Linked DNA regions of Macaca fascicularis. The protein of the gene in region 2 purifies or fractionates together with the protein of the main gene of each other region. This does not show direct contact. Links are inferred from orthologs where the notes say so. Each region holds a gene or a part of one and is shown on either strand. Other genes may lie near its edges.

Region 1 (2,312 bases), on a different chromosome or scaffold from region 2:
CTGCCCCATTCCAGGAACAGAGACCCGCCCAGCCACAACCCCCACCACTCTTGCCCTAAGGCGCCCCCTGGCGGCCACTCTGTGCTCCACTGGCATCCGGGTCCAGCAGAGAACTTGGGGTGATGAAGCTGGAACTTGCTGAGTGGGCTAAGGGGTCCGGGGCTCTGGGTGGAGCCAGCGGGTGACCTCATCCCACAGTGTGACCTCAGGCCTTCCCTCCCGCTGGGCTTCCCAGGAGGCCAGAGGCCCAGCTGCAGCTGTGGTTCTGGGAAGGGGAGGCCTGACCTTGGCACTGCCCTGGCGGGCACTGGTGGGGGATTCCTGGTGTGGGTGCGGCTGCGGCTGCCACGGCCTGTCTAGGGGTCCAAAGCAGTCTCGGGGCCTCCACAGGTCTGGGTTGTTGCCTGAAGGCCCCTTTACCAGCCTCACACTTCAGGTACTCACTTTTCCCTCTCTTCATCTTGCCCAATCCTCTGTGCCCTCCACCCCCAACCCCTTGCTCCTGCCCAAATACACCAACCAAGCACTTTTGTACAATAAAGTTTAATCACAATTATAAAAATGTGGCGTCAGGTTTGCGCTATTAACATATGTACAGTCCAGCCCAGCAGAAGGGGCCCACCCCGCCATCCTGGCCTGGCTGAGCCGGGGCGTGACACCAGGGTGGGAGGGTGACCCTCAGGGTCTGGCAGGAACAGATGAGGCAGGGTTCCAGGCACGGAGTCCCCAGGACTGGGGGTGCAGAGCCCCCCCAGGGGGGGAACATGGCCACTGCCCCAGAGACCCCTAAACTGGGGAGGGGTACACGCAGGGCATAAGGGGAAGTCCCCATTAACACAAAGCGAGAGGACTGTGCAGCCCCTAGGACAGAATCTGTACAGGCCGGCACCCCAGGTTTCCACAGGAAACAGCTGCTGGCTGCTACAAAACATTTACAGCTTCTTCTCCGCAAAGAAAAACAATCAGGGGGTGGTGGGCAGGGGCGACAGGAGAGGCAGAAGCTGCCTCCAGGGACTGAGGCTCCCTCGCTGGGCTTGGGGCCCCCCAACCCCACGCTTGGAGATGGGGGCATGTGGGCCCTGCTGAGCCCACTAAGGCTGGGGGGTGCTGGGAGCTCAGGGCACCAGGGGGAATAAATAGGGGTGTGGGCACCCGTCCTGCCCCACCTCAGTTTAGGGAGCCCCGGCAGCTCTCCGTGCCGCACAGACACGGGATCTTGTTGTCTTCCAGTGGGAACTTGTAGTCGTAGGTGATCTCCTCGTCCACGCCGATAGGCTGCTTGGAGTAGATCACAATCTTCTTCTGGGACTCGATGGTGATGACCTTGGCGTAGCAGTTGGGCTGCGGAGGGAAGGGCATGTGAGCCGTGGCCACCCCCACCGACCCCCGAACTCCTGCCCCGGCCAGCCCCTGACGCACCGTGCAGCAGTGGTTGATGAACCTGGCCAGGTTGCCACACTTGGTGGCATCGATGATGGTGTCATGGTCCACCCGGAACAGGTAGCTGCTGCCAATGCCCTCCTGCACGTAGCGCTTCTCCCGCATGTCGGCCACCATCTGTCAGGGTGAGATGCGATGGTCAGGGAAGAGCCCCCCACTTCCTGCCCGCGAGCACACCTGCCAGCCAGCACCCCAGGTCCATGCCCACCAGGCCTGGAGCTGCAGCTCTGCCTCCGGCTCCCGCTAACCCGGCACTGACTCTCTCGACTCTGCTTCCAGGAGCCCTCCCTCTTTGGGGCAGCATACTAAGCCTCTGGTGGCCATTCTAAGTCACCCGCAGGGGACTCCAGGGAAATCTGCATCGGGAAGGAGAGCCACTGGCTCCTTCGAGCATCTGCCTGATCACAGTGGGGTCCCCGGACTGCTGGGGCAAGTCTGGGGCTGGGGCAGCTCCTGAAATGACAGTGGCCATGTCACCAATGGCACCCTGCTCATCTCTCCTCCCTGGACCTCTCTCCAAAACAGGCACCTGTTGGCTGCCACCGACCAATGCAAATAGCAGGCCGCCCATGTTAGGCCCCGCACCCCTGTGAGGAGCAACCCTTACTTCCCAGAAGACAGTGAGGAGCCTCTGCGTGCCCTCCTCGGGTGACCTCACTCCCTTCCAGAGCCTCAGCCGCCAGCTGTGTGGTGGGGACTCCTCCCAAACTTCCATTTCCAGCCAAAAGCCACCTCAGTGGAGCTGCTGGGCGTCGTCCCCTAGATGTCCCTGGGGCACTGCAACCCCACATGTCCAGACTGGAGCTCATCTTGACCACATATCTGTTCTTCCTCCTCACTCCCAGCTCACTGGCCATCCCACCATACTCCCA
Region 2 (3,650 bases):
ATGTAAAATGACAGAAATATCCACCTGACATTAAGAGTCAAAATAAAAATAAAAAAAAAAACCCATACACACTGAATGTAAATTTTAATTATAAAACAAGAATATGAACAAAACATTTAAAAATAATCTCAATTATTTGGCAACTCATCACATCATTGCAAGAGACAAATTTGATCGTAAGAAGTTTAATCTTATGAAAAACTGAAGTTGGACAGTTTGCTCATATGAGAGTTAAAACATGTTTAAAAAAACACCTGGCAATAAAGCCAGTTTCTATACTGAAACAACTGTGTATAAAACAACATAAAATCCTGAAACTGGATAGACAGGAGGGACCTAATCTTGAATGCATTTCTCTTCACTGAAAAAGACAATATGGAAAGAGTATTGGTAGAAGCTTCAGAACAGCACAGAGCAGGGGAATGAACACCAGCAGAGAGGGTTTCTGCTGCAGGTGACTGACGCAACTTTACCTGAACCAGAACCTGTTTTATGTCAATGGGGCTGGTAGTAAAGTCACAGATGCAAGTATAATCTAAAAACGTTACATTCTTAAAAAACAGAGCCACGACTGTGAACAGAAAAGCAATGGAGAAACTTTCTTTAGCTAAACTACTTTACTTGGATACATGCGAGTTTCTGCCAGATCATATTAAGATAGTTACAGGGCAGGCAGAGTCCTAAAAAATTTTCTACTAATGACTGCATAGCATTTAAAACCCTTTTTTATTTAAAAAAAATAATAATAAAGTAAAATAAACAGATATATAGTAAAGTTCACAGATAAGTTTTCTCTGTAAAATAAATAGTGTTCATTGATTAGCATCATACATAGAGTAAAATACAACCTATTTTTACATGTTTATATACTATACACAGATTACCAGTAGGCAGCCTGGTGTCTGATGGGCTGGAGGGGTTTGCATTCATGATGTGTCACATTGGGAAATCCCAATTTTGAATGTTAAAATATACAACTACTTTGTTTTGAGTTCAGATACAAAGTAAACTTATTGTCCTTTATCTGAAATAAATGTACATAATATCTTCTATGAACAATAGTTTATAAAGCTGTTTAAAACATAACAAGAAAAAGCTTGCACCTAGGGACTTACAGCACATGCATATCTTTTTCCTGGTTAAAGAGAAGCCTATGGCCACCGAGGCATGTCTCTTTCCTCTCCACTGTGTTCCTCCATAAGCCTAGGGCAGCAGTGGTCAGGATTATCGCTTCGCTTTTTTCACAGGGGCTTCCTCCACCCTTTGCTGGCCTCTTGTTCGGGCCCCAGGAGGGCTGACTTCTCTCTTGCGCTTGATAGAAGGGGACAGCTGTGTCTTTGATCTGCATTAAGCAAAGTCAAGGCAATGGTGAGGTTTAAAAGCAGTTGCTTCAAATAACTTGGGAGTTCCTTAAAAAAATGGAAGAGTTTTGAACTTGACAGCTAAGAAAAGAAAAACCCAGTAAAATTTATACACGAAAAGGAGCTATTTCGCGAAGAGCTCGAGCTAACTGGTTCTTTGCTGTCAAACTCACACACAAACACAGGACACTGGAAGAGAAGTGTGAAGCCTGTGCTCTGGTTCCAGCTCTACCACACTCTAGGTGCTGATGGTGCTCAAGTCCACTTCCTTCTCTGGGCCCTAGTTCTTTCATCTATAAAACAAAGACATCAACAGTAGGTCCCACCAATATAGAAACTGTTCTAAGTTCAAACAATTAGCAAGAACACAGCAGGATTTCAACCTAGGTTGGACCAAGTGCAAAATCATACTTCGTAGCACAGGATTACAGAAAATAGCTGTGTTAAAAAAGCCACAAGAATTTCAGAAGAACATTCTAACCAATCTCCCTGTAACCAGCATACCCTGTTGATACAGTCTGTGATTAAAATTATTTGTTGGAAACTCCAATTAATCATGTTACTGTCCAGGAGATGTATGAAGTAGTTCCTCTTGGGTCTCCGATGCTTTCAGGAGAAAATCATCCAGAGCATAGAACACAGAGCCTTTTTTTTTTTTTTTTTTTTTTTTTGAGACAGAGTCTCACTCTGTTGCCCAGGCTGGAGTGCAGTGGCCGGATCTCAGCTCACTGCAAGCTCCGCCTCCCGGGTTTATGCCATTCTCCCACCTCAGCCTCCCGAGTAGCTGGGACTACAGGCGCCTGCCACCTCGCCCGGCTGGTTTTTTGTATTTTTTTAGCAGAGACGGGGTTTCACCGTGTTAGCCAGGATGGTCTAGATCTCCTGACCTTGTGATCCACCCGTCTCGGCCTCCCACACAGAGCCTTTTATAATTCTGCCTTCTACTTGTGCACCATCTGGGACTGTAGTCCTGCACCTTCCACATCACAGAGCAAGATGCCCTATCTTTGGAATCCCCCACAGAGAAATGCGACTTTATTGACATGAAGACTTTAGGTCTTTACCACAGCATTTATCATTGTAATTTATCTGCTGTGTTTCTACAAGTTACAATCAATATTTTGTAACTACAAGTTACAATCAATATTTTAAAACAAGATACTAATAGGACACAACAGAAAATACCACTTGTATCACATCTACTAAATTTGACTCATGAAAATTTTGTTTCAGTTACAGTAGCAGGAATGTGAGCACCAGCTGTATTGCAAAACATTCTGATAGTGGATTGTTGCCAAAAAAGTTTGAAAGTCTTATATACATATATCTCTCCCATTAGACCCAATGATTTTCTAGGGCAGCTGCTGAGATTTATTCATTTTTCTAACTCCAGTGCCTACAGAAATGCCCAAAACATGGCAAGCAGGCAGTAAATGTCCTGTCAATGAATAAAAGGCTTGGAAAACCAAAATTGCAAGAGACGGAGAAACGGGACTCTACTGATATGAAGACACGTCTTTCATTTATTGTTTGACAGCAAAAGTAAATAAACTCAAATTGAGTCAAAAATTGTTGCAGATGATGTGGTTCTGGCATGTGTTGACAATGACTGAAAATGTGTTTGTTGATAATCCATTTCAAACCGTTTCCATGGAAAGCCACCAGCCACTCAAGGAACACCTCTTCAGTAAAGGTGCCGTGCGCAGCATTGTGCTGGGGGCCAAATGGCAGCTAACAGAAGCTCTGAGTCAGGCTGCTTCTCCCCAGCCATGTGAGCTTCGTAGCTTATCCAGGCCCTTCCAGTTCACCCAGAATGTGGTCTGTGACCAGGGGCACTGGTCACTGAGGAGCTTGTTGGAAATGCCAACTCACAGGCCCCACCCTAGACTTACAGACCCTGGATCTGCATTTTACAAAGAGCCTCAAGTGATTCGACTGCATGTTCAATTTTGAGTAGTATGCATGCAAACCTTCCTGAGATTCTGTCCCTCACATATAAAATAGAAGTAACTGTTACAATTCACTCAATGAGAGTTAAATGAGAGCATATTTGTGAAAGTGCCTAGCGCTATAGTTTGCTTTCGTTTCTAGAACGTGGGGAAAACAGCACATACATGCAAGTATGCTGTGAAGATGAAAATGTGGTAAGAGGTCAAAACGGTTTTTGTGTACAGTGAAGAGTCTTTTACTTTGGAATATGATAATGTATAGAAAATATGACAAGTTCCTATCTGAAGAAAGAAAGCTAGAGCTCAGAGGGGTAAATAAAAGGAATATACCAAACCAATG
Region 3 (4,311 bases), on a different chromosome or scaffold from region 2:
CCTCTTCCGCAGCGCAGGGTCCAGGAATGGGGACTCTTCTGTGTCGCTCATCCAGGGCTGCAAGCAGGGCATGCACTGACCCACCTGCCCCGCTCATGACAACCCCACCACCTACTCATGTCCCATATCAGCCTTCCATACCCTCTGTCTCCTCATTATGGATACTCTCTGCTTCTGTAACCTCCACCCTTCCACCAGGGGATGCTCCTATCTGCTCACCAGGCCGTGGTCATCAAAGGCCCCTGCACAGAAGTCCTGATACAGGTCAGGATCCAGAGGTAGGTCCTCATCTGAGAGTGGCTCAGGCGTGGCTGTAGCCTCAGGAGGCTCCTTGACTGCTGATGATGCCACTGCTCCCTCATCTTCACGGATGCGCCCTAACTTCTGTGATGGCTGTGGCTGCTGTTGGGTGGGCAGTGGCCGGCGGGGCCTTGGCAGGGACTCTGAGGGCGTCACTGGTGAGAGCTGCGGGGCAGAATCTCAGGACTGGCCCTGACCGCCCTGCCCGCATGCCCCACCCCACCCTGGGGAGCTGGACTCACCGAGGAAGGGAAGTACTTGTACGATTCCTGTGCCGGCAGGAGGAAGGCCCAGGTCAGCCCCAGGTGGATGGAGGGCGGCCTTGCCCTAGCCCCACCCACCTGGCCTGGCCTTACCTCCCCAGACACACCTCCCCACTACCCCTTACTACCAGGAATGCTCGCCCCTGTCTTATCTGTACTGACGTGCATGACCACCTGGAAACACCTGACCCCACTCTGTCCACCCAGGGTTGGTGGGGGTTCTGCCAGCCCAGCATACCAGCTCATGCCCCATTCATCTGGACATGACAGGTCCCTTCCCACCTGTCTAGATACAGTCAGGCCCAATCCCACCTGGCTTAGCCATGCCTAGACTACACTAACCATGCATGGACCCACCAGCTCTCCCATACCTGACCCTACCCAGCTCTGTCCATGCTCACCCGGGCCCGCAGCTGGCACTGGCGCAACCGGCACTTCTGCCGGATCTTGTTGGGGCCCCCAAACTTCTTCATGTCCCGACAGAAGTCACAGTGACCACAGTCCTCAGTGCGCCGACATGCCTCACACTCACCACACATGCGGGCTGACCGTTTGATCTGCTGCTGCTGCTGCTGGTGATGCTGGAGGAGGGGGCCCAGAACAGAAATTATGGACCCAGGCAGGGCTGAAACGGAACCACTTTACACATCTACTCACTTTATGCAGCCACTCACCTGGCTGGGTGTGGCCACCAAGGGCTGCGGCGAGGATTTGTGGGGCGAAGCAGAGCCCCGAGCAAGCATGGCCCCAACCCCTGTCCCTGACCCTGCCCGGCGCTGCAGGTCTGGATCGGGGACAGGCCTCTTGCGCCCTCCACCCTCATCCCGGGGCTCACTGCCGTCCCGCTCATTGCCATCCCGCTCCCGTGACTTCTTGTGCCGATAGCGAATCTCTAGTTTGGGGTCTTTCTCTGTGGGGCAGAGAGTAGGGCCAAAGTGAGTGAGCACTGGAGGGCCTGAACGGTCCCAAAACCTCTTTCTTCCTCTTCTCTCCCTTACTATCCCACCCACCTACTCTGCACCCCTGTCCAGGGCAGAGCTGCCTCTTCCCGTGGAATCTTCTACTACCACTCACAATGGAGACCCCATTCCAGCTCACCACAGACGTGTATCACTACTCCCCATGACCCCCCATTATGGCTCCTCCTCCTCCCTTGAAGCCCCACCTGCCTTCCCTGTCCATCCATGGCCCTCACCTCTGCACTCCCGGCAGTACCACTCCCGGATGGCCTTGGCCATCTTCTCAGTGATCCGGATGCAGTCCCCATGGAACCACTCATTGCAGTTGTCACACCCGCTGCGGAGGATGGGGCAGGCGGTGGAGATGTGAGGGGCGCGGCCCATCGGCCTCACCCCACCCTGCTAGTGTCTGCCCCGCCCACCTCTCCCGGGCTCACATCATGAAGCAGTTGATGTCCGGTTTGCGACAGATGCAGTAGATGGGCGCATTCTCTCCATTCTCCGACTTGCTGTCCTCCCCAGCATCTGGAGGTTCTGGGTCTGAACCATCTCCCTCCTGCGGGATACCCCCATTACGGATCCTTAAACAGCCCCCACCGTGGCGGCTTATCCCATTACAGCTCCACCATGGTCAGCAGGGATCCCCACTCTGCCTGCAGATTTCACATCGGGGCCCCCCAAAAACTTCTCCATCACAGTCCCCACTGACCTCCATCCCTTCCCCTGACATCCTATTACTTTGCTCCATACTTCCCATCACGCACCCACCGACACCCGCTCCCTGCGTCCATACTCGCTAATGGGCCATCGCGATCCTCCATCGTGGCGCCTCACAGACCCCGCGTAATTCACTGCGGACTTCCCATCGCGGTTCTCTACGCACCCCTCCCTGTTTACCTCATAGACCCACCTGGCACCCGCACCCACCCCCAGTCGCGGCTGTCCACGGATCCCCGGACACGAACTCCTCGTCACGGCTCACTACAGACCACCCAGTGTGACTCCTCACAATCCCCGATCACGGTTTCCCACGGAACTGCCACCCGGAGTCCCCACTAAACTTCTATTAAGGACTCCCCCACCGTGGCTCACCATAGAACTCCCAGATGGTTCATCATTCTGCCCACAGACTCCCGCCGTTCAGTCCACAGACTCCGGTTACGGCTCACCACAGACCCCTGAGTCGGCCGACAGACCCCACTGTTGCCAACCCCACCAACCTCCACCGCCGAACCCCTCCCTGAACCCGGTACTCACCATATCTCCGCTCCCGGCGCACTCCCTCGCGACCCCCGCCAGCAACCCGCGAACCTGCACAGACCACTCGGCGGCGTCCCAGGCGGTTGCAAAGGCGCCCACAACTACTTCCGCTTCTGGTCACGCCTCCCAGGCAGCGTACTCCTATTGCGCAGGCCCCGTGCGTCGTCTCCGCCGCAAACCAGTAGGTCGCTCGCCTAGAGCCCCCGAAGAACCCTCAGGCGCCGCCATCTTGATTATCGTATCCGTATGGTGGCCGAATCCACACGTTCGCCGGGAACATGGCAGCGCTCAATTGTGGCTTTCCCGAGGGCGTCGCCACCTTGTCAGTAGAGTCCGTACGGCGGCTGCTAGTACGGCCTGGACGTACAGGCAACATGGCTGCACCTACTGCGTGACTTCCTCATAGATGCCGTCATCTTGGAATCTGATTCCGTACGAGGGGCGAATTCGTACGTTCCTTGGCGACACATGGCGGCGACCTATTTGCGGATTCCTCAAGGGCGCCGCCATCTTGGTGGTTGATACCGTATATTGGCCGCTTGTCAGGCAGAGAGGTTCACAGGTAAAGCGGCCGCTCCCGAAACGCTACCTGGATCAAGTTGTATTCATTCCTCCATTCTGTCTCTTTCCCCTTCCACATGTATTGATGGGGTGTCGGCAGGCTGTGTGCCTTGCGGGGCGGAGGAAACCAGTTCCTCTGTCGTCTCCGACTTCACCTGCCACCACTCTTTCCGGCTCTCACTCCTCCCACTTGTCATTCTTCTGCCAGGCCTGGCACGGTTCGGCTTCTATTTATTTTATTTTTATTTAAAAACAATTGTTACACTAATATCAAATTTTATTTTAGTTCTATAAGCTGCACAATAAGCCTAAGCACAGTTTACATTGATTTATTGTTTAGCATTTAGAACATTTTTAAATATTATTCTAAATAAAGTTGCAACGAACGTTCTTAAACATAGATCTGTATGCTCATACCTGATTATCTCTTGTGAAATGTGATATACAAAACGGTGTCACTCTGGTTAACAGCTGTAAAATGGAGCCTGGAAGCCATTCTTTCTAATTTTTATTTATTTATTTACTTATTTTTTGAGACGGAGTTTCGCTTTTGTTGCCCAGGCTGGAGTGCAATGGCGCGATCTCGGCTCACTGCAACCTCCGCCTCCCGGATTCAACCTATTATCCTGCCTCAGCCTTCCGAGTAGCTGGGATTACAGGCTTGCGCTACCACGCCCGGCTAATTTTTTGTATTTTTAGTAAAGACGGGCTTTCACCGTGTTGGCCAGGATGGTCTGGATCTCCCGACTTAAGGTGATTCGCCAGCCTTGGCCCTCCAAAGTGCTGGGATTACAGGCGTGAACCACCGCGCCCGCTCCGCCTGGAAGCCATTCTAAGGACTCCTCGCAAACTTGCAAAAAGGAAAACAAACAAACCAAAACTAAAACACAATAGGAACTTGCCTGGAACCCTTGAATTGGTCAAAACTGCAATGACCACACCGTCCTGGAAACCAGCTATATTTCACC

Evidence for each region.
Region 1: the proteins of BOD1L1 (region 2) and SETD1A purify together in Homo sapiens (affinity purification with mass spectrometry; 3 studies listed by BioGRID and IntAct, with this or other methods). This does not show direct contact. The link is inferred for Macaca fascicularis from reciprocal best matches to the Homo sapiens genes BOD1L1 and SETD1A.
Region 3: the proteins of BOD1L1 (region 2) and CXXC1 purify together in Homo sapiens (affinity purification with mass spectrometry; 5 studies listed by BioGRID and IntAct, counting the BioPlex papers as one, with this or other methods). This does not show direct contact. The link is inferred for Macaca fascicularis from reciprocal best matches to the Homo sapiens genes BOD1L1 and CXXC1.

Annotation. Positions count from the first base shown.
Region 1 is NC_088394.1:29,162,096-29,164,407, reverse strand, and holds the end of SETD1A (histone-lysine N-methyltransferase SETD1A), read right to left. Parts: intron 1,558-2,312; coding exon 1,420-1,557; intron 1,342-1,419; coding exon 1,168-1,341; 3' UTR 528-1,167; downstream 1-527. UniProt on the Homo sapiens protein: Histone methyltransferase that catalyzes methyl group transfer from S-adenosyl-L-methionine to the epsilon-amino group of 'Lys-4' of histone H3 (H3K4) via a non-processive mechanism.
Region 2 is NC_088379.1:12,737,398-12,741,047, forward strand, and holds part of BOD1L1 (biorientation of chromosomes in cell division protein 1-like 1), read right to left. Parts: intron 1,343-3,650; coding exon 1,225-1,342; 3' UTR 1-1,224. UniProt on the Homo sapiens protein: Component of the fork protection machinery required to protect stalled/damaged replication forks from uncontrolled DNA2-dependent resection.
Region 3 is NC_088392.1:39,454,879-39,459,189, reverse strand, and holds the start of CXXC1 (CXXC-type zinc finger protein 1), read right to left. Parts: upstream 2,892-4,311; 5' UTR 2,783-2,891; coding exon of another isoform or gene 2,780-2,782; intron 2,701-2,779; 5' UTR 2,618-2,700; coding exon 2,615-2,617; intron 2,079-2,614; coding exon 1,960-2,078; intron 1,860-1,959; coding exon 1,759-1,859; intron 1,474-1,758; coding exon 1,238-1,473; intron 1,145-1,237; coding exon 965-1,144; intron 570-964; coding exon 543-569; intron 466-542; coding exon 220-465; intron 58-219; coding exon 1-57. UniProt on the Homo sapiens protein: Transcriptional activator that exhibits a unique DNA binding specificity for CpG unmethylated motifs with a preference for CpGG.